2 linked regions of the Alligator mississippiensis genome follow. The protein of the gene in region 2 interacts with the protein of the main gene of each other region in a biochemical or structural test. Links are inferred from orthologs where the notes say so. Each region holds a gene or a part of one and is shown on either strand. Other genes may lie near its edges.

Region 1 (12,087 bases), on a different chromosome or scaffold from region 2:
GCAGCTGCTATTATCTAGGCAGACAGTGGGAAAGGCAAAGGGGTGTACTGGTGCTTCCCACATGCCCTGTTGCATGATGCTTCAGCTGTAAGAGAAGAGCCTTGCAGGTACTAATTGGTGCTGGCACTAACAGCGAGGCCTTCGGGACACAAGGGCCAGCGTTGCTTTTGCAACGCATTCACAGGGCAGTAACCTGCAAGCTGCGGAGAGCAAGCAGCCAAAAGACCTTGTCCTACTCTACCCAACACGTCGCTTCCCACAAAAAGAGCCCAGTCAGAAATGAGGGCCAGCCCGATTTGGCTTTCCAGTCACTTACCAGATGCTGGAAGAACTGGTCATCTGGGAATGACTTATTGCACTGCTGACAAAGTTTGTCGCTGAGACCTTCAGGGAAGAAAGGAGGGAGAGGTTGATTGGTAATGTGGGACTGACTGGTTATGGAAATAATGTGCAAGTACATATCGCCTCTATTGTGTGCCTCGTTTTTAGTATTTCAGTAGGAAGACGGGCTTCCTCAGCTGTGCTGTTCTTCGGTGCCTCTGTAACCAGACAACCCGGAAAACACTCCTTCGTGTTAATGGAAAGGTCATCTCCAAGCCGCTGGGAAAGGGTTAGGGTTAGGCAGGAGGGGTGATCTAATGGAGAGGGCTGTTGGCTGAGATTTGAGAGAGGGGTTCAATTCTTTGTTTGCCCCTAAATTAGTTTAGGAACAACGCATCCCACATCTGTGGCAGGGGAAGGTTGTACTAGACGGCCTCTGATGTCTTGTCTAACCCTTTGATTATACTGACTTTTGGAAGAAGGTGGCTCTCTGTTACAAAGGGCTGATAGCAGGAGAGAAGTGAACCCGATTACATGAGCAGCCAAGGTTGGTAAATATGCCCAACCCAAATGACAGTGTGAGCTGGGCTTCCAGCTTGTATGTAGTGCGTTTCCAAAGCAGGTTGGGAAAGGTGCTTGTTCAGTCGCTTGCACTAGTTTGCATTAGGAACTAGATTGTTATACTCAAGATGGGATCAGTTGAATAGGATTGGAGTGAGCCCTGATGTACCAAGGGCCCTGTCTTCCCAGTGTGTGCACACCCAAGACTCTCCTTAAAATCCATGTGAGCTGGGGGCGAACAAGGAAGGGGATGCTAGCCCCTGAAACTAAAAAGCAGGTGGGTGTGATACTCATACTAAGATCCTGTTATGTGTCGGAGCCAAGCTATGTAAGTAAGGCTCAGCGCTTCTCAATTATGCTTATAAATATCCAGAGCAAATCAAAATTACTCTGGATTTATACTCGCTGATGTAATACAGAATAAAATGTGGTCCTTCAACTGGTCAAGATGAGCAATAATCCTTTGTGATACTAATTGCAGGGCGCTTTCACATGTTCAAATGAAAGCTGGATAGATGCCAGCTATAAACTTGTTACACATTTTCAAGCACTAGCTTTGTAGCTGGTTGGCTCTTTTTTACAGCTGGATGGAGATTTTTATGGCATAATTACCCTGCACCTGTGGCTGCTCTTACTTTGCACAAGTGACCAGTCTAAATGTATTGTGCGATTAACCACAGTTAATTGTATAATATATGTAATGTGTGGCAGGGGCCACATTACACAAGGCAACCTGCATTACTGGGACTCGGAGAGTGTAGGTGGGGAATTTTCCATGTGATTAACGGATACTGTAGTAACGTGATGCTGTGGGTGATGACAAGGAATTTGGGCTACCTGCGCTTAGAAGAACCAAGGTTTCTAGAGGAGTCACATTATTAATTTGAGAGTGAATCTCACCATGATTTGAGAGCCCATCACCACTACGACAGATGTCTTTGTGCTGGTCCAGGTCCTTGTACATGATGTATTTGTTACAGCCGAAACACTTCTCAGTTCGACTACCGCAGGAATCGAGGTGCTCCTGCAGCTTAGCAGAGGGCATTTCTAGCTCGCAGAACTTGCATTTCATAACTCGTTCGCTGCATTCCATGGTCTGCAAGTGAACAGTCGCAAGTGTTACACCAGGAGTGGAAACCCCCCCCCACACAACAGGCCTAACTTGGTTTTAAGAATGTCCTCCACTAAGACCGTGTCTACATACCAAAACGCAGGTGTGTGGTGCAGGTAGGCATAGTGTATTAGGTTTATATTTAGTGAACGCAGGTAAAACTAGAAGTGAAGAAGCAGTGGCCTTGGCCTGGGCTAGCAACCAAGAGTACAAGCCCACCAGAAACCTAGAGGATGCACTTTGGCTACTACACAACCTGAAGCCAGTGATGCCATATGGTCGTTGGTGGTGTTACAGTAGCTAGATAAAAGCTGCCACAGGTATGCCTACAGTCGCACTTCATGTGAAGGTGAACTCCACAGAAGCGATGAAGTGAAAGGTCCTCTCTAAGAAACTCCCTGCAGAAATGGGGTGGGAAGAGGTGTGGAGGGACAGTCTGATGACCAGGGCATACATTTGTTTTAATATAAAAAGATGGATTACATTAAACCCTGGGTCAAATGGCACTATATTAAGATTGCTGACTCTGGGTTGTTCCATGTTGGGGAAGGCACTAATTTGCAGACATCTCTTTGTGGTGTCTCTAAGAGAGATCAGCCAGGTTGGATTCTGGTCTCGCGCACAGAGCAATGGACTCACCTCATGGTTCTCCAGCTGGTATTGCTGCAGGCTTTGGTGACAAAGCTTACACCTGACCTGAATGAAAAGGGTGACAGAATAGTAGCATACTTAAAGGAAAATACCTGACAGCTTATAGAGAATATTTCAAGTTATCTAATGAACCTGCTACCTCTGTAGGTGAAATCGTCCAAGATGGACTCCCTGCTATTTCCATCTTTGGAAAGCAAATAGGGAACCTTGTTCCTATAGGAACTGAGCAATGTGTAGGATTTTCCTGTTCGGGCAGGAGTTAATCATGCTACCAGCTGATTATTCCCTGTGTTTATTGGAGATTAACTTAAATACAAAAGAGCAGGTTCTCTGACGGAGTCCCTTGACTTGAGCGCACAGTTGCCCTTTGGGGAGAAGGGGGCTGTGGACAGAGCTATAGTGTTGCATCGGGCCCTGACCCATCTTCTCCTCAACAAATACAGATGCTCGTGGCTGTTCGCCATGCAGCAGCACAGCCCGGCATGATTTCCGTGCATCTCCTAACTGCAGGAACTGACAGTCCGAGTCCTTGTTGGAAGGTGAAGAGCTCTCACTTGCTTGTGTGCATTTGCCTGATGCTCTCGCATTTCCTTTTGAACAACAGCCTCTTTGCAGTCTGGGCAGACAGTGAGGAACCGTCGGCAGTGGATCTCGTGCAGAGAGAAATTGGCAGCAGACACATCTTGTTTACTGTGTGACACGGAAAGGGAAAGAATATTATGGGATTGGATACGATTCACCTGGCCGATCCCAGAAAACTGACATCAGGTATTTTATACTTGTGTCTTGTTCAAATGAAGCCTTCCAAGACTCAGCTCTGTTATGGAGGCTTTACTCTTTTGCTGAGGACATCTTTAAGGGAACAGGGGCCCCGTCAGGTGATGTGGGTCCAAAATGAGAGAGTGCTTTTACATCAGTGCAAATCAGGAATAACTCCAACAGAGTTACACTGGTGGGAAAGCAGGATTGTGCCCTATGATCAGAGGGGACCAGCAACATCTGGATTCGCAGCGTTCCAGAGATAACGCAGACAGTATTCAGTGGCTCCAGGGCTGGAGGTCTATAGTAGAGGCTGGGTGCTAGTTTCTTTAAGCTATTGCTTTGTGAAGGGACCCCAGATATTAAAGGGAGAACAGAGGGACGGACAATTTGCTCCCCACAATAGTGACCTTTTTGGCTTATAGCTGGAGAGCTAAGTTGCCTTGACACCAGAAAGAACCATTGGACATAAGGGGAAACTGAGCCAGGGACCGAGTTCGTACTGGGTTGTGTTCCAGACTGCAGGAAAACACCCACAGCTTCATCACTGATGGGAATAACAGACTGCATGTAGCCCAGGGGTGGGCAATTATTTCGGGCGGAGGGCTGCTTACTGAGTTTTGGCAAGCCATCGAGGGCCGCATGACAGGCAGCCAGGGCAGATAAATATAAATTTTTTAAACTTTTTAGAGGCCCTGCAGGCTGGATAGAGTGGCCTGGCGGGCCGCATCTGGCCCGCGTTTTGCTGACCCCGATGCAGCCCCCGCCTTTTTAGGGCACACCTCCCCGGTGGGCAGGTTAGTCCATAATTATGGAGCTCTCTTTCCCCTCTTTGAAGCCGCTTGTCCTGGGTGCTGGACACGCAGCACTGCTGACCCAAGCTGCCCCTCTCTGCCGAATCTTTTAGGTCCTAAGCAGCAGGGCAAGGGACACAGCAGGCAGCAGAGAAGCACTGCTTGATCTTGCCTGGGGGATCTAGCCGTCAGTCAGGGAAAAGAAATTGTCTTCAAAATCCTTAGATGTTAAAGGGCAACACAAAGCAATCAGCTGTTCCGATTTGTTTCCTTGGCCTCCCCTTGGCTTTCTCTGTTCAGGGAGAGAAGCGTGCAATACCCACCCCGAAAAGGAGATCAGCAAAGCCCCTGTGCCCCTCGGGTATCACTGGCACTTGGCAAAAAGTAGGGATTTCTTACCAGTTTGGGCAGAACTTGCTCTCGTCTTCCATGGCTGCTCTCGGGCTCTGCCCCTCTTTCTTTTTCACTTCTTTAATCTGACAAGAGAAAAATGAAACTGAAACTGCCAGTCCCAATAACCAACCCCAGACAAGGGCTCGGCCAATTTTTTTTTCTCCATGCAAAGCAGGAGAGTGGGAACCAACAGGGAGCGGCATTGTCCAGTTACTGTCTCGGCTCCTTCCCACAACAGCTTCAATCAAGAAACGTAGCGTCCAGATGACCCGGGGAGGTGGAAGATAGTTTTGCCCTACTCTTTCCTCTGGCTCAAATGAGTTTGAATATGCTTTGTCTAGCAGGCAGGACTCTTTTCTGTAGCTGCTTGAGGCTGTTAGGGGACGAGGGATATTTCACCTGCTTGGTTTTAATAACAAAGCTGCCTCTAGGCAATTTATGAACTGTCAAATGTTGGATCTGGCCCTTTCCTCTCCTTCCTTTCTATTGCCATAGATTTTCTTCCCTCCTTAGCTGATCATGATTGCTTCCTGAAGACACAAATGAGCAGGTAAAGCCTTAAACAGACGCCTCCATGCGAGGCAGAGTGCCTTCCTGGGAGACCACAAGAGGGAGTTCGAAATCCCTCCATCTCCCTTTCATTTCTGTCTCCCTGAGCTCTGCTAGGCAAACTTTGTAGGATCCCTGTTGCAGGACGTGGAATAAATCTTTCGGCTCGTTCGGTCTGTGCCCCAGGCAGACGCAGCATCTAGTCCCCTAGGACATAGTTTCTCAACCTGTGGTACGTGTACCACTGGGAGTATGTGAGACACAGGCAGGGGGTATGTGGGTACCCCGACACAATCTCTCTTGCCCTCTTTTCCTCTCTCTCTCACCCTTAAATCTATGGCAAAAAAATTGGTGCAATTAAAAAAAAATAAATTCCCCAGTAATAATTTTGTGTTCAGCCCTCCTAGCTTTGGCCAACATCACCTCTAGCCCAAGTCCATACTTGAGTTGTGCAACCCTGGTGTAAAAGTTGGCAACCCTACCCACACCAGATCAGACTTCTGTCATATCATGGCCTTATATACACAGCCCTTCTTCCCACATATGGCACACATTAGTTGGAAGAAGTCCAACTAATGTCCATTATAAAATCCCCATGTTGGGGTACTTATTGAAATTTTCAGAAGTTAGGGGGTACTTGCTACTTAAAAGGTTGAGAAACACTGCCCTAGGAGAGGCAGCATCTAGATTTGATATGATGTGAACGTCTACGGTATTACTTCGGCTCTGGGTAAAGAAATAAGAAAGAAAGTAAGATGACCAAAAAGAAAAAGCTCTGCGTCTAGGGTGTTTTAGAGGGAGCTTAGCCCTCATAGTAAACCTTAATGACCTTTTCCTTACAAAAGCTCAGCCAGTTTCTTTCCATTCATAAGGTTTTGACCTCACGAATAGGACCTAGGGTGGGAGTCCAGAACAGAAGGGGAGATGAGGCTGAATTGGAAACAGATTTGCTGAAGAAAGAGAGAGAGAAAGAGAAAGCATCATTCAAAACTAAAAAAAAAAAAATGGATCGGTTAACCTGCCCCGAGTTACTTTGGCCCTGAATCGCGCAGAGCAGGCCTTGGTCTTCTGACTCGCAGGGAAGGTTACCTATAGCTCCTGGGCCTGGGAAAAACTACCTCCTCCTTAGACATCTCCCATGGCGTCTGCCTCCCCAAGCAAGAGCCTCAGTTGTTTTTACAGCTGACTTGTCTGTGACCATGTGACAGAGGCCATTGTTCACTCAGCCAATCAGAAAAAGGCATACAGCCTAATTTCCAAGACAAGTTTCCCATTGACATTTGGGCACTGTATCACCCCACTGGAAACGGAGGCACGACGAGCGCGCTGCCGGGGGTCCCCCATCGAGGCTGAAGTCGAGCGTGGGATAGGATAGATCGGAGCTGCAGATCGGTGCCGTGCCCTAACAGCAACGCTGCCTTGCCATAGAGCCAGACCCTGAATCTCACTTCCAGCTCACCAAAATCACACTGGGGTTTGGGTTCTCTAGTAACCCTCAGCCCCTTTCAAGTGATCTGAGTTGTGAACAAGACCCAACGTTTAACGTGGAGGCATCGAAACGCCTCTTTGCCCTACCCTAGGACCGGTGATGGCCAGGGCGAGAGGGGGCCGCTTCTGCTTGCAGATGTCCCTAGTTTGAAAGGAGGAGGGGATGGCAAGGTAAATTGTTGACAGTGGAAATCATCGCTTAGCCTTGGCCCAGCACAGTTTGTGCCTTGACATTTCTGGCAAACGACATATTCCCTTTTTTTCCTGGAGGAGCAGGCTGACTGGGCTGTGGCTCTGTTCTGGGAGCAGGAATACACGCGTGGGGTAGGATGTGCCTTTTTGACCATGGATCCAATAAAATTTGGATGAATAATAAAGGACTTTTAAGCTGTAAGTTTTCTGGGGGTAGGGACAAGGGGTAAGTGATGGGATAGTAATGGCATTCCTGCCTATTGCATTCCTCTCCCATTTCTCTCCTGCTATGGTTATCTTCAGGACACTGTAGGGAATCAAAGGCTTGAAAAGCCCATATTGGTGAATGAGAAAGCAAGATCCCCTCAGCGCTGATAATGGAAACAAATTAGTACTTATATTAAGGTACCATTTATACACGGTGTATAAAGAGCACATTGACACGGGTTATAAGCTTGTGACGGACAGGATGCGTCATCGATGGCTATAACCACAGCACAAGACGGCAACACAGATGATTTTAAACGACTTATTGATTTGTTGAATTCTACAACTGTTGATTTAATAACTGAATACTTCTTTGTAAGCTCTGTATGAATAGACCGAACTCTAATGTGAAATATGTATGAAAGCATTCTGTCCACTGAAAGGACCGTATTTAGTATTTAGTGTTTGGTTTAGCAACCATGATCTGCTAGTTGTTTTCTAGACATAAAAGATGTGATGGCCTCTGCTCTGAGGGACTCCCGTCCTAAGGATGGACAGGCAGACTGCTAGACAAGCCAGGGGAATGGCTTGTCTATGCAATAATTGCAATAATCTGGAGTTCTGCTCTTGTCTTTGTGCAGCCTTGTGGTTATTGTTTCATTGCAAATGACTCTTTTGACATGAATATATCAGACATCCCTTTTCTAATTAATGGCAACAGTCTCTTTCCTGCAGAGACTTTCACTTCTCCCTTGCTTGACTAGCTGAATCGAAGCCAGGGGGCCGGTATGTGCTTAGTGCTTCTGAAAACTAGGTTCACTTTTCACTGGTATAAAAAGCCCCACTTTCTCAGTGATGAGGAATGGAGAAAGACCCAGAAGAAGGTGCAGGGTAATGAGGAATCGGGTCCCTAGTGTCTCAGGTTGGATGCCCCAAACTAGTGGGCATTTTGGAAATGTAAGCCTTGACCTTTCCCTCTGTAAAATGGGGATGATACTATTCGTTCCCTCGGGTGCTAGAAGACATCGTGTATTTTAATGTTTGTGGGATCCCTCCTCATGCTACACAGGACACAAGTACAAAACACTCTCCTTACCAAATCAGACTTCAAATCTCTCTGGTTAATTTTCTGCCCGTCCAAATGCCTTCTTCTCTTTGTCCTTCCTATCCCCTTCCAAATAACAAGAAGAAACGAGTAACCGATTGTCCAGACTTGGAAATAATTAGTGTTTGTTTGCATTTTGCAACACAAATTATGTAACAAGGCAGAGAAAAGGCTTTTGAAAAAATATGTAAATGAGATGGCAGTCATCAAGAAGGAATGGGTCGCAGGCAGGCAGACAGTCTATTGCCAATTACCAATCAAATACTTCTTTTCCCCCCGGTCTTTCTGCTGTACAGTATTTGAAATTCCCTGGGGCTTCAATTAAACTGTACTGGAAGTACCACCCTGGGGCTCAAAAGTCTGATCAGCATGGCACCGTGACAGAGGAAACCCCCATTGACTTGAGGTTCATAATGAGAGCTTTTGTATAGCCAGTTGTTGGGCACAGGGATTGTACCAAAAGAACTTGAAGTTAAGAGGCTCAAAAGCTCTACTTGGAAAAATATCAGATGCTGCATTGGGGACCTTGCTGAAGGATACTCCTAAAGGAACACAGTGGACTGGCAGAGGCTGTAAAATGTTCTCAGTAAGGAGAAACAACAAGGTAAGGAACAAGTGATGTCCCGTGAACTCTAGTAATCATTCTTTTACTTTTAAGCCTTGTGTAAACCTCCTAGTGCATAACATAATGGTTTCAGATCTGTTTTAGGTGACCGATCAAGTCAAGCATCACAAAGGTAAGTTCTGAACGGGTTGTTTTTTAAATGTAAATCTCACGCGACGGGATAGTATGTTCCTTTTCTGCCAAAACCTAGGAAGTTTCAGGGACGGCCTTTTTTTTTCTTTTTCATTGTCAAGTATCAGAGATTTTGCAGTCCTTTGTTATTTCCATTGTTTCTGTACCTCCAAATGCTGCACTAGTGCTGCTGCAACATTTTAATTGCTTTAAAACAAATTGAAGCACAAGTACGTTTGGAGTGGAGCTAGCAGCTGCATAGGTTAATCTGGCTGTGTTGGCACAATGACATCCTGTTTGCAGAGTTTGTTCTTGTGTGGTCGCTCGCTGTTTGGACTGAAAGTAGGGGCTGGGTGGAAATCATTTCTGCCTCTAAATGCTACTTGCTACCTCCCTGCCAAAGCCCACTCTTGTCTAGAGATAACATTAGCCGGTGGAAGCAGTGGTTCAGCAAGATATACCTAAAAAGTAGTTTCTTGGAAATGAGCTAGGTTACACTAAATAGCCTTTATTCCCTAATTATTCTCTGGCGTTAGGGTGGTTTTGAAACTCTTCCCTTTCAAAGAGACTTTTCTTCTGATGATGCACGGGTTACTTAATTCAGACACTACAAACATATCAGCTGCTGCTAATTATTTCGCTGCAACATCCAACACGATTGTTGACACATCTACAATGACTGCTCAAGTCGAACTGACTTTCATTTTTATGCCCATAAAATAAGGGGATGGGATCTCGGGAGTCAGGAGATCTGAGTCCTTGCCCAAGTTCTCTCAAGGGGAAGATCTTTATAGATGTTCTTGGTTTTGGTTTACCCATCTCTGAAATGGCAATAACAATCCTAGGACTACCATGAAGCTTGACTCATAAGTGTGCTTTGAAACCCCATCGCATCCCCTCCCTGTACTTCAGTGTCTCCATCTGTAAAATGGGGATAATGGTACTGACCAACTTCAAGCAACGTACTGATTGAGAAGTATCCTACGAAAGCTGCTGTCCAGCAGAAGGGACGAGGACGGTCACTGGCTGCAGCTCCTAAATGGTACCTGCAGCCCCAAGCCAATTCTACCTGCCACTTCAAACCAGTTAAAGGCTGCAGCCTCGGGGTTTTTTGGAAACACTGCTCTGCTCCCGCTGTTGTCCGTGGTGCTGCCTGAAGGCAATGATATTTTTTTTGTAAAGGCTCAATTAGCCTGCAGTGAAATTCAGCAGGTGGGAGGTTTTTGTTTGAAGGCCTGTTTTGAAACCTCCCAAATTCCTGGTGCCGGGTCTTTGTAAGCAGGAGCGTTTCTCAGCAGCTCCTTATGATTCCTGTAGTCTGCCTGTCAGCTGGGTAGCAAGCAAGCAGGCAGCCAGGGCTCCCCACTCCCTTGGCAGGCTGCTCGGGAAGATTTCCGGGCCAGTTACGTGAATGAGCTGACAACCTCACAGCGCACCAATGCATCTCCGGGCTATACACAGCCCGTGGGGGATGGGGAGCAGAGGGGCCTTGCCAAATCAAACATGTTCCTCTGGCCTCCTTTCTGCCGGATCAAGTTCAAGCTTCCCAGCACAGTTCTCTGGCATGGGCTGCATTGTAAACCCCTCTCCTCCCCTGCAGTTCATTCACTTATGCTCCCCGCTCCCTTTACACCCGGCTCAGCACAGCAAGCCTGTTTGAAGGTCTCGTTCTCACCTCCCCATCGGGCTCTCTTATTTTCATTGCCAAAGTGCTGCACATCAGCAAATCGTCAGGTTGTCCGTCACTCTGGTGCATCTGAGGGCATGGTTCAGGTAGCACGCTAATGCCTTTGCCCTGCATCTGTGCTGGGATAAACTTCTCCTGCTGCCTCTTAAATTGATGTGCACCGTGGAACCCTGCTGGTGTCCTTTTATTTTATTTTATTGGTTTTTGGCTCCCTGCCTTTGCCTCCTTTTTCCTCCCAAAGGGTGTCTTCCCCCAAAAGATCCCGCTGTTAATTTTTTTTTCAGTATTTTCCGTGCAACTGCCCAAGCCCAACTGCTGCTGGAAACCCCGGGAACCTCCCAGCCCCAGGATTCCTTCCCTTCGCCTGTTAAAGGCGCATTGCCCGTGTCGCCCCGTTCAGGTAAATCACTTCCCGTTCAGATAGCCAGAGGATGGTTGCTCCCTTTGTCCTTTTTTTCATATCTCACACCTTTTTTGCTCTGATTTTCCATGACTCAGTTACTCAAGAAACCCCAATCTCCAATGCTTGGGGTTTTGAGTTACTTTCCATGGAATTGGGGTGGTTGTATTTTGTAGGGCACATGGAGGAGGGGTTAAGAATAACCCCCCACACTCTCCTGTTGAAATACTACCCCTTTCTCACTTTGCAAACTGGGAAGCTTGAGGCCCAGGCTGGTTTAATGACTTGTTTAAAGCCATTTGGCGTCAGAACGGGGAGTTCCTGGATGCCAGTCCTACAATCGGGCTTCTCGAGCGAGAGCCTCCCTGTGTCTGCTTAGTTCAGCTGTTCCCCCGCAGCTTTGCTTTTGCTTTTTATTTCCTTTTATTCATAATTGCTCCTTTGCCACTGAAGCACCAAGACAATGAACTGTGTTAGTGTTGGTAACTAAAAGAGGCAGCAAACCTCAGAACAGCTTTGCTAAGGAGCTACCACGGGGCAGTTTCTTAAACAAGAGTTTTGCACGTTTTCTGCTGCTGACAGGTAGCACTTCTTTGCTGGAGACAGGATGTGGCAATGCAGGCTATAGCTGGTTTAGCGTCTCAACCTGGGTGGTATCTATCTGGCCTAAGTTACCCAGAAGGATTGCTGCTCGGATTTGGAGCCTGTACAGCTCTAGCCTGCTATTCCCTTTATTTTTTTTCCCCCTTTTCTCAGTGGGCATTCACTGCTTTTACAAGCAGAACGGTCAAATCGGAACAGCTTGTTTGGGGACTCTTTTACTGCAGTGCCTAGTCCTTGGAGGCCAAAGCCTGCAAACCGTAGGCAAAAAAACTCCTATCCAGGGGACGCAAACCTTCACTTGTGTGAGGAGCCGCACGGATGCCATAAGACTTTTCAGGGTCAAATCCTCAAGCCCCGGTTCCCCACTGCTTGGCGCTAGCGTTTGCAAGACAAGCCTGGAGCATAAAAGTGCCACCAAGCCAGACTTCCCCATATCCCCATGCCATTTCGCCCCTGCTTGGCACAGGTGTTCAGTCCTAGGTGAGGTACAAAGCAGCACAGGATCAGACCTTTGGTCTTTTCTCAAGTGA
Region 2 (11,537 bases):
AGGAAAGTGCCAAAGAAACAGAAAAAATGCTTCTATACGATTGTGAAGCTTATGAACACAGTTCATATAACCAGAATTTCACTTTGTATGCAAAATGAATTGAGAGTGTTTTGTCAAGCCACAGAACACTACATAAACCAATTGGTTCCTCAGATACTGAATTAACATAATTCAGAAGTTTGTGACTTTGAAGTAAGACTGGTAGTTTGAGCCTCCCTCTCGTGGAGGGCAAAATACTGAACTAAGTTTGCTTTCTAAAATACTTTTAGAAACCTTCATTTCTACAGATTATAAAATATCTGCACACCAACACTCCTGTAGAACATATTGATGTCTTCATAGAAAAAGAGACTGTGATTTTGTAAATTAAAACTAGAGAAGTTTTTCAAAACTACACCCCAATTATTAATTGTTAGAGCCAAATTCAAGTTTTGCTGTTTTTATTCTACTTACTGCCATATCTGTAGGTAAAGATCTGTGTAAATGCTTGTAACAATATTAAAAAGTTTACACATCAGACAGTGTTATATACTTTTGCTCAGGATTTAGGGAATGGTACATAAAAGGCTTGGATGTCAAAATTTCATTCCAACATTACTTGTAGCTTCAAGAGGTTAAGATGGCTAGTTTAGTGCACGTTTTTTTAAATGCGAGCATAGGCACTTAAAAGATGCTTTGATATCTTTCTGAAAACTTGTCTACCTCCCCACAGACTCCTCGAGAAGCGTGTTTTGAATTTGCCCAGATCTTCAAAACAAGAGTAATATCCAAACATTAACATTTTTGTATACACACAATTTTATTCACAAGGATAGTCCTATTTAACTCAAAAGGAATACCTGCAGTTTAAAATCAGGCATACACTTAAGTGTCTAAGGTCCCCGAGCAGAAATCACCGAGGGACCTAATGCTAAAACTAGCTTCAGGCTGCTGGCATATTTCTGCAACACCAGCATTATACTGAATCTGATACTGTAAGCATTACCACTTGTTTTGCATCCATGATGTGGTACTTTTTGCAATGTTCAACTAGTCCTTCCTGATCAAGGTTTCTCTCACTGCAGTAAGGACAAGGAAAGGTAAAGCGATTTGGAACATTCCTGGGGGAAAAAAAAAAAAAAAAGATTGTGTTTACATTTTAGAAAGTTAATACCTAATGAGAGACTGGCTACTCATGGTAATTTGAGAGAGAATATTTAAATAAAGAGCACTTAGGGTCACCACTTATTGTGTGATATATGAGCAAGCTGAATTTAAGAACTTGTTTTTTCTATCAGTGAAGAAATGACATCTCAAAGGGCAAAGTTAATACATCTGGCAATTACAGTTATTCCCTTACAAAAATATCAAGTTCAGCTTGCTTTCCTGGTCTGCACCATTTTTGTGAAGAATATGAAAGTTTGCCAGACAGTCTACAATATGGGTGACCAGTTCAATGTAGTCATTTCTCATTTCATTTCAGTAATTAATCAGAGACAGAATAACAAGTTTAAAACTAAAATAAAACGTAGATAGCCTTACCCAGGACCCTGATCTTGTAATAGTTTGTGCATGGGCAATTTAAGTCAGTAGAGCAGTGCACCTGGGCGATATCATTTCTGTATTAGAGCCTAGTTTAATTGTAATACAGCATTAAAAGAACTACTCCCCCTAGACTAAATGAAGATCTAACAGTCTTTGCTTGTACTTTCACATGCTGCACAAGAAAGTGCCTGCAACACACCAAATGCACCAAAACGTATAAAAACAAATCAGGAAAGCAAGTTTTGGCATTAACTAAAACTTCCACCATCAAAAATCTTTACCCAACCACCTCCCTGTAAATGACTGGAAACAGAAATACCTGGTGTTACAAGGTGGTTCTTTAGTTACAGCTTTCACACCTTCCATTATATAGTTCTGGTATTTTGAACAAGAAGCTGCATGACTGCGTAACTTTGAAAGGTACATCTACGCAAACAAGAGACAGAATGTGAAGGTTATTAAGGTTAAGTACAGGAACTACAAATCACAGGAATCAGAAAACATTCTGTTCAGAGAACATTAAAATAAGGAAAACTGAATGTTGTGGCACAAGGCAGTCTGTTCTGAACAGAAGCTACTCACTAGGTTAACATGCTACTTGTGATACATTATGATATAATATAATGTTTAGACTCCCTGTTCACCCGAGTACCATAATTCTTGCTTTTTTTCCCCTCTACATCAAAAGGAAAATAAACTAATTTCTACTTTGTACTAAACCAAGCCAACGTTCCAGCTCTGCCTGCCATTCTTCCCTGTTATGGGCTCAAATAGAGACAAGCTACTGAATCATTAGCCAATATATTGTATAAAAGTAAACACAACAGAGTATTAGGCCAGATGTAAATTAAGCGTGCTAGAAAAATACTTATGATCACAAGCTTACATTGTAACCATTTCTTCCTCTCATAGGGTACAATGATTCCTTGTTAAACAAAATGTTAGTATTGATATGTCCTACTAATCAGGGGTGCACCAATAAAGATTTTTGGGGGTGATACTGATGGCCAATTATTAATGAGCCATATTGGGCCAATGTTGATCCGACTGCTAATATGAAGCCCACCAACATGGAGAGCAGCGTCTGGCTGGTAAGTCTGCTCGGGGTGGGGGGGGGGAAGCAGGGAGGAAGGAAGGGGTGTGGTGGGGAGACAGTTGAGGTCTCTGCAGTAAGGGAGCCAATGCATCAGTGTACCTCTACTGCTAATGTTATTCTGATTAATTGCAAAGAGTATATAAGAAGATTTTATTAAATTTAGCAACTCGTTTCTCTATTCATTCTGATAAGACAAGTGTCAAACTGAGAAAGAAACCTAGTAAGAGGTCTATAACTAAATAAGAATTGAAGGTATTTGAATACTGATGCTTTCCAGAACTCTGACAAATGTGTGTGGCAGACTCTGGTAGAAAACAGTGGTAAATCTGGAGGGTTTATATTTTATTCAGACAGTAAAATATGGAGGCTACAGTTTTTTCTTTTATGACAAATCAACCTTTTTACAAATTTGAATACTTGCATTTTTTCTAGTACCCAAGAGTCAGAAAACAAAACTGCCTAGAAACGAAAGTGAAACTGGCTAGACCCAAGTTACAGGAAATGCAGCATGAAAGGCAAGCCATACAATTAAAAAAAAAAAAGTTTTAGTTGGTAGGAATTTGTATAAGGTATATCTAGAAGGAACCCTATCACGTTAAGGATTTTTAACTAATTAGCTTTAGCTTTATCTGGTGGAAGCTAGTTCTATGTTAGCTATTAAGCTATGCTGACTATCAAAAAGTCAATTGGTCACGTAGCAGAGTAATCAGGAGATAATCAATGTTTGTTATTTTTACAGCACTGCCATCGTAACAGCAGTGCTCTATAATTTCTACGCTGCAACGTCTGAAGTCTGGGCTCTGTATTAATAATATCATGGAAGGATAACATTTATGTCTACATTTTACATATTTCCACAGCATTAGACTCTTATCTGTACAGCAGAAGCTGGAGAAGACATGACTTTTACCAGATACCAGGCAGCACCACCATAGCAAACTACCCCAAATATACTGAATACAATTTCAAATAACTCTATCAGAAAGGTGCTTCTGTCAGTAATCAGTCCAACAGACTCTCCAGACAGGTTTCACTTGATTTCTCCCGGGACAAACGTTGCATTTATAAAACAGCATTCTCCCTGCAGAAATGTGCGCGCACAAGTTCCCATGACATCTTTACATTGCATGTTTGCTGCATACTTCAAATAAAGGGGCAAGTAATCAGCTAACAAACTGAAGTTCACCTCTCAAAGGAAGAAACAGAAGACACGGCTGGGGTGGGGAGGAGGAGAGGACATTGGTGTGCTACCAAGCATTATTTCTCTGCATTATTTAACAACATTAAAATCTTGATGGCTGACTCTCCAGAAGGCTGAAAAGAAAAATGTTATTTTCCAGGTGTGGCTAAATAGGGAATTGCGTACTGAAGTTTTTAAATGCTTTCATACTTTTTTATTGCAGCCACTGCAAGCAGTTTCTGTCATTTCAATTTGTTTTTCCAGATCCAGAGCTGTGCTGCCAGGAGACAGGGTACTACGGCAGACTCCACACACTGGCTTTTTCGGCTTAAGACATTCCTGCAGGCATGGAGCGCAAAAACTAATAGGGAAGAAATACAAGGTTTCTAAAAACGCATGCTGTAGAAAACGCCTGCACCGTTCCCAACGAGACCCTCACGGATATACCTTAAATTTGGCCAATAACGAAAGGGAAGTCACAAGGGACAACGCACATCAAAAACCTTCACCCTACCTATGTCACACTCAAAAGGGACAAACTGGTATCGAGGGCTACGTTTCAAGAACAAAACAGCTATCGTGAATGTTAGGTGCGGCCCCGTCCCTTGGTGCTCCGGCCAATTTATGGCCAAAGTGTTTCCTGCTGGAAGGTTTGGGGCTTCAGAAACATCCCACGCGAGCAACAAAAGCCGAGGACGGCAAAGGGCAGGGCGCGCTGCCGTGCAAACACAGGGGCTCTCTCATGACAGGAACCCGAAACTTAACTGGCAACAAAACCCACCCCTTCCTGCACCGGCACACCCCGCCGGGCTCGGGCAGGTCCTGCGGGGCAGGGGGGGGTACACCGCGGGGTAAACGGGCCCGGGGTGGGGGGGACACCCCTGGGCGACGGGTTTCACTGGACGAGAGGGCGCGACCGGCTCGCACAGGGCTGCCCGGCCCCCGCCCCGGTGGATCGCTCCCCCCGCCCGCTCGTACAGCGCCCGCCCCGCTCACACGTGTCCGCAGGGCGCCCGCACGGGGCTCTCGTAGACCTCCAGGCACACGGGGCAGAGAAAACGCGATAGCGGGTCTTGCGGCGCCGCCGCGGCCGGGTAGCGGGAGCCGTTGTCCGCCCCCGCCATGTTCCGCCGCCTGACTTCCGCGAAGCACTTCCGCATGCCACTCCCACCGCCGACGGTGGCCCGCAGGCGCCGGCGCGGCTACGCCCCCGTACAGGGCCACGCGCATGCGCGAAGTGTAGCTCCTCCCCACGCCTCTGGGCCTCGCGGGGGGGGGGAAGCAAAATAGTTGGCTCCGCCCAGCGCCGCTGGAGGGGGCGGGGCTTCCGTGTTGGAGGGCGGTGTGGAGCTGGCTGGGTTCAGCGACTGCTGCAGCCCCAGCCTCCTATCCTGTCTCTTTTGGGGGGGCTGAGATGGGCTGTTGGTGTTAAGTGGATGGTTTGTCATGAGTTTTATGCTTTTATGCACCGCCAATTGCTCCATAATTTCAACCCCCAGGTCCTTTTCTGTAGAGCCACTGCTTAGCCAGTCAGTCCCAAGCCTGTAGCGATGCATGGGATTGTTGTGTCCTATGTTACCTGTCAGCTCTGTGTTCCTGAGGGAGCCCTTGCACCCAGCTTGCTGGACTTACAAAGGACTTTTTGTATTCCCCCCCCCCACCCCTCATCTAACCAAAACTAAGCAGAAGAAAAGTTGAATAGGCATCTCTGGCCGTACATTCCCAGGTCCCAGTATGGGAGGTCTATTTAAACTTAATTGACTAAAACTTGGTTGCCGGGTTAGGGAATGCTGAGGCAAGAAACCGAGTCAGAGAGGGTACAGGCAACATTTGAACAATGGTTAAGGGTTCCTCACAGGGTCCAGCCCACTGGAGCCCTGAGCACAAATGCTGTCATACTTTTCCTGAGATGACTGGTGCAAGTCCTCCCCACAAAGTTTATAAACTCTCCAAGTAATCCCCTTAAGTACGTTAAAAGACTACAGTAAGATCTGAAAGTCATGTGAAGCTGAGGCTTATTCACAACAGGTAAAATACAAAACACTGATGCTGACTTCACAGTACAAGCATAGCTAGGCCATTTGAGAAGAAACAATGTGGTATCCCTTCCAGTATATCTTCTATATTCATAATAATTTCAAGCTGGCTCCTACGTGTCTGGTTACTCCTTAAAACTTTATGTTTTTCCTGGTTGTTAATCAGTTTCTGGAGATGTTCCAAACCAGATAATCCCTTGTCACTGAAAAAGGTAATTCATCTAAACTGAAACTGCTTATATAACAGGATTTTCCCTGTCAATGATGGCTTGGGACCCTCTTGATTTACACAATTAAACAAATGCTTTGAAGAAGCTGGACTATAAGGGTACAAGAAAGCTGTAAAGCAGCAGTGTGCTTCAAGAGAGAATAATCTCTCTGACACCATCCGCTATTGCTCTTGAGAAGCTGGGAGAAACAGATCATCTCTCGGTCGCCTGTTTAACTTTCAACTATTGTGCTAGGAACTTTGCCTGTCAACAAACCGCCCAAGTGCCTTGGAACGGTGAGATCCCAGCTCGCGCTCGCTCTCTCTTTCTTTTTCTCTCTAGGCATAGCTTTCTGAACCTGAATTTTATTAGTCAAGCTTGAGCTAGGTTTCCCCAAATACTCAATTAAAACAGGGTAATATTGTAATCATTTTTGTTCATTTTTCCTTGTATGTCTATTACTACTAGTACCGTCATAAATTTCATATACTTAGCAATAAATAACTTTTATAGTCAAACTAGTGGTAACTGGATGTATTTTTTCTTCTCTGCTTCCCCTTCCCCACTTGCTCTGCAGCAACACTGCTCATCAAGAGGCTATCAGTGCTAGGAAAGTAAGGGCAAAAGATTGGGATGTGCTGAGTTTAAGACACATAAGGGGATCAGCTTGTATAGGCTGATTGACCCAGTTTGGCTCAGATGTGCCCTAATGAACTGAATGCTGGCCCATGAGGGTGTCAGCTGGCCACCCAGCCGGATTCAGAGGTATTCTGTTCACCTGTGTGCTTGTGTCTGCCTGCACTTTATTGTTACCTTAATGAACTGATTCCTGGTATATGAGGGTGTCAGCTTGTACATGCTGATCAACCTGGCCGGGTCAGGCGTGTCACGTTAGTGTGTGTATTTGATGAATTTGGTGGCTGGAGGAACCCTTGAAACTGAGTCCTACAAGATAGCTCCATTGGGGGTGAGGACCTGCAGAAGGGAAAGATACAGCTCTGTATAGAAACACAAGTAACAGAAGCAGCATATTAATTAAATTACAAAGACCCTAGAAACGTATCCCTAATAAATGCGCACACCCCAAAGTGATGGGCAAATCTGGTAACACCGAAGTGCAGGACTTTGCATTTGTCCCTGTTGAACCTCATGAGATTTCTTTTGGCCCAGTCTTTCAATGTGTCTAGGTCACTCTAAATCCTAGACCTACCCTATTACTACCCCCAGCTTGGTGTCAGCTGTGAACTTGCTGAGGGTGTAATCCATTCCATCTTCCAGATCGTTAATGAAGATACTGAACAAGACTAGACCCAGGACCGACCCCTGGGGCACTCCACTTGATACTGACTTCTAACTAGACATTGAATCATTGATCACTACCTGTTAAGCCTGACGATCAAGCCAGCTTTCTATCTACCTTACAGTGCATTTATCCAGCTCATACTTCCTTAGCTTGCTTGCAAGAATGCTGTGTGAGATGGTATCAAAAGCCTTGCTGAAGTCAAGTTATATCATGCCAACTGCTTTCCCTGCATCCACAAATCATTGATAACTACTCTTTGAGAGCTCCTTTTCACCTAGCTGTGCATGTGTCTTACCACTAATAAATTGCTTTATTTTTCAGCAACAGGGACTGAAACTCTATCTTGATTTTACAAGCCAGAAAATATCTGTGGTGCTGCTAAAATATGAATCTCCAAATCTCATACCTCCTGGCTTAGTTGCCTAATTTCCCCATGCTGAATACTGACTGAGGTTTCATTTTCCCCTGAAATACTAGATATTGGCTACTATTCACAGCAAGTCACCTTATGCTTTAGGATTTGATTTTGTAAGTCCTTTTGCACTGTTCAGCAGGAAGCATAAGGTGCTGCACTCCAGGTGTGAGCAGAAGCTATATGTGGGTGCTAGTGCTAAGTATAGAAAGCTGACCTGAAAGCTAGTCTAAAGAGTCCCATTGTCTTCAATGAGATTTGAATCAGGTCCAAAGTAGTTCTGTTTCAAGGGCGAGAATAAGAGGCAAATCCTTTGCATACCTGCATCCTTATACAGTACAGGATAAAAAAAAAAAAAGAGGTAGTGGCACAGGGAACAATGAGTGTCCAAGGAGCTACACTGTGGCTGCCTTCATCCTACCAGGCAAGAGTCGGTCATGCAACAGCCCTGTTAATACTTTGAATGCCTTCAAGAGACATTTGAACGTTTATCTTGCTGGGATCCTATGATCCCTGCTGATTTCCTACTCCTGGGGCAAGGGGCTGGACTCGATGATCCTCCGGGGTCCCTTCCAGCCCTAGTGTCTATGAAATCTATGAATACAGAATCAGGTTCCCTTGTACTCCTGCCCATCAGTTATACACACACCATTTCAGCTCTGCCATGCAGGACTGACCAAAGTAATTCAGAAAACTTTGTGTACTGAAGAGAACTTTTTAGACTGAATGAATAGAAAAATTATATACCTTTCATCTAAGAAAGAAGCCTCTCTTCTTCCAAGAGTCACTGCAATACATGTTTTGCATTACAGAGCTATTTTCCCAGTTCTCTATTCCACTCTATGAGTTTTAACTTAACCTTTTTTTAACATTTGGTTGGGACGAAGTTAGAGAGAAGGGGGGTGGTGTGGAATGTAAATTAGGAAAAATAAAAGAAGAAAACATTCTGTATATGTGAAGCCAACTGCTTCCATTACTGTGCCAAGTGACAGTTGTCATGAAACTAGCTGTATTAGAAAATCAAAGCCATAAACGCACTGCCAATGACAGAAGAATTATTTTCTTTTATCACAATTGTGCTTGTCATACCCCTATTACACGTGTACACCCAAGGGGAGAGATGGTCTCCCATTTCAATTTGTAAACCAGCTGCAACAAGACTAAGTTGCAAAAGTTTAATATTTCCAATTCAGTATGAGCTTTTATCATGTCAAACATGGTTCCTGATACCTGGATCATGTAAGTTAGATTTCATTTCTGCATTGCTGCTGATGAAAATGATGCAGGCTTCCAGAATACCATGCTCGCTAAATGCTCTATCAGATGGGAGTCTCTTGCTGTATATGAAACAGTGCACTGAAGCTGCAGAGAGAACAACTGTGTTTCTGAGAAACACTCAGCATTGTTCTGGCAAAACACTCAGCTTTGATTCAGCCATAAAGCACACTCACCCACAGCTAAGAACTTAAAAAGTGATTGATTGCTGTAGAAGAACAAACCTATTATGGTTCATATAGTGGAAAAAGTGCAGACTTCTAGGTTAAAAATCAACTCCCTTCAGGCAGAATGTAAAGGAAATTGGAGTTGGTTAGACCCAGGCTGATTTTAAGAGGACCAAGAGGTAAATGTTCCCATGTTACTGAAAGCAAACAAATGCTTTTAAAAATAGCTAAAGCAGCAGAGTGTAAGTAATTGGTGTCGGCAAACAGAATCTATTTGGTTTCTGACATTAGCCCCAGGACTGAAGATTGTCCACATTTTATTCATTATGTTATTACTCACATATGTTTTGAGTGTCTTGTAGTAGCAAAATGTGATTCTATTTTCCCCTTCATTTACCTTCAAGACTGCTCTGGCTCTGGAATAAATATTGACCTTTTAGAAAGGGGTAATGCAGCTCTTATTCTGTGGTTTTCAAGATAAGTAGATATTAAATCAGTTTATAAAATAATTGTATAATGATTCAATAATTGCTTTCTGTTGTGACTGAGTAGCTACATCCTGCATTATTTAAAAGAGCACTTAATTTTTTGTCTTGCTTATGCTGGAATAAATTTCTTTTACCTTAGGAAGTAAATCATTAGCTCTAATCACAGATAAACCACAGGGCTAGATTCACAATAGATATTTAGGCAATTAAGTCTTGCATAGGTATCTAGCTCTCTCTGATTTGAATGGGAGCCTAAATATTTCTGTGGATTTGGGCTGATGTATTCACCACAACCCCTTCCTCCTAATCCAGTTTGATCTGGAACTCAACAGGGATTTAGATTTCTATGTGCTGAATTGACTCTCAGTGGAATTTGATGATCTTGCCAGACTGGACCAAAGTCTACATCTTGCCAAACTGGACCAAACTCAGCTGCTATGGAATTTAAACTTGCAGAAACACAGAAAATGCCCCACATGTTGCCAAACATGATCACTAATGGGCACACATTTAATTACCATCCGACAACATAAGTATCTCATTAATATGTTGCACCTTTACCCTTTTAATGTGCTATGGTATGGTTACCTCTCACTGTTCAAATAGGGTTGTGTTAGTACTTGAACAGAAGCCATGCAAGAACACCTAGCAGAGAGCAGGGTGTGATGCAATTTGTTATTTCTCATGAGTCAGCCCTGAACCAGGTGGAGAGAATGGAGGAAATTATGCAGCTGGAAGTGGCCTAATCTCTTTCAGATGAGAGTACAAAGACCTGACTATTTAGAGTCATTAAAAATCCCAGAGCGCTGAGAGTTCAAACCGGATTAGTAACCTAATGGCCCTAGTTAAACTTTTCTTTCCTACCACTCACGTGCAACATCCTTTGTCACCCCACAGGCAGATGCACTGAGGATCACTGCTGTACTGCATACACTGAAGTGCTATGGATGCCCCAAAAACAAATATCACCCCCCACTGTCAATTCTTGAGAGTTTTTTGACAACTCCCACATAATTTAATGTTTCTCCCAAAGCCTCAGCTGCCAGTCCTATAATGCCATGAGACTCACAGTTTCCATTAAAATACTTCCAACTTTTGTGGCTGCAGAACACATCAGGAATGAGACCAACGGGAACCTCCAAGGACTCAGAAGACAAATGAAAACAGAAGCTTCTTTAAAGGCATCGTGACTTTAGAACCATTAAGTATTTCCCACATTTCTGGGCTTCACTAGTCGCTCCCCCACCCCCTTCTGCTTCATGTGTCAGAGGGGTTTAAGACTTGGGCATTGGGTGTTGGCTACAGCCGAGCTTGGGGGGACTTTGGGGGGTGCATATGCTCCTGTTGGGACCAAAGCCAGAGGCTCTTGGCTAGAGGGTTTTTTGACCCTTTGCTCAGGGTCAGACTGATACTCAGGGTCAGGAAAAAATGTTACCCCATGGTCAGACTGGTACAGCCTGGGGGGTTTGCCTTCCTGTGTAGCAGGGGTGCGGCCCTCAGCCTAGGATCTCGAGCGTGTATCAATGACATCCTATAGAAGCAGGACACCGGCTGCCTGGTTCCCCTGCCTTACCCATGGCAGGTTGGGGTGTGAGGCTTGTGCTGTGTTGATAGTGACAGTAGCCTTATGCCAAGTTTAGTGGAGGTTTAGATAGGGTGGTTAGGACAGGGGTGATGCTACCTCAGGAGGGGCTGGGCAACACAACCTCTAGAGGCCTCTCTCAGCCCCACTCCCCTGACTGCAGGGAGCCTTGGCTCTGCCCCATGCAGGGGGATGCTGTCTCTTGCATGTGAAGGCACCTTTCCATGTCACAGAGACCACCATAGCAGGACAACACATCTTGCTA

What was found.
Region 1: the proteins of RNF114 (region 2) and XAF1 form a complex in vitro, tested with the Homo sapiens proteins (2 studies listed by BioGRID). The link is inferred for Alligator mississippiensis from reciprocal best matches to the Homo sapiens genes RNF114 and XAF1.

Annotation. Positions count from the first base shown.
Region 1 is NC_081837.1:9,461,769-9,473,855, reverse strand, and holds the start of XAF1 (XIAP-associated factor 1), read right to left. Parts: upstream 4,967-12,087; 5' UTR 4,794-4,966; coding exon 4,597-4,793; intron 3,335-4,596; coding exon 3,199-3,334; intron 2,690-3,198; coding exon 2,633-2,689; intron 1,979-2,632; coding exon 1,783-1,978; intron 385-1,782; coding exon 317-384; intron 1-316. UniProt on the Homo sapiens protein: Seems to function as a negative regulator of members of the IAP (inhibitor of apoptosis protein) family. Inhibits anti-caspase activity of BIRC4. Induces cleavage and inactivation of BIRC4 independent of caspase activation.
Region 2 is NC_081832.1:13,431,844-13,443,380, forward strand, and holds the start of RNF114 (E3 ubiquitin-protein ligase RNF114), read right to left. Parts: upstream 4,961-11,537; coding exon 4,797-4,960; intron 4,162-4,796; coding exon 4,011-4,161; intron 1,951-4,010; coding exon 1,844-1,950; intron 1,101-1,843; coding exon 986-1,100; intron 1-985. UniProt on the Homo sapiens protein: E3 ubiquitin-protein ligase that promotes the ubiquitination of various substrates. In turn, participates in the regulation of many biological processes including cell cycle, apoptosis, osteoclastogenesis as well as innate or adaptive immunity.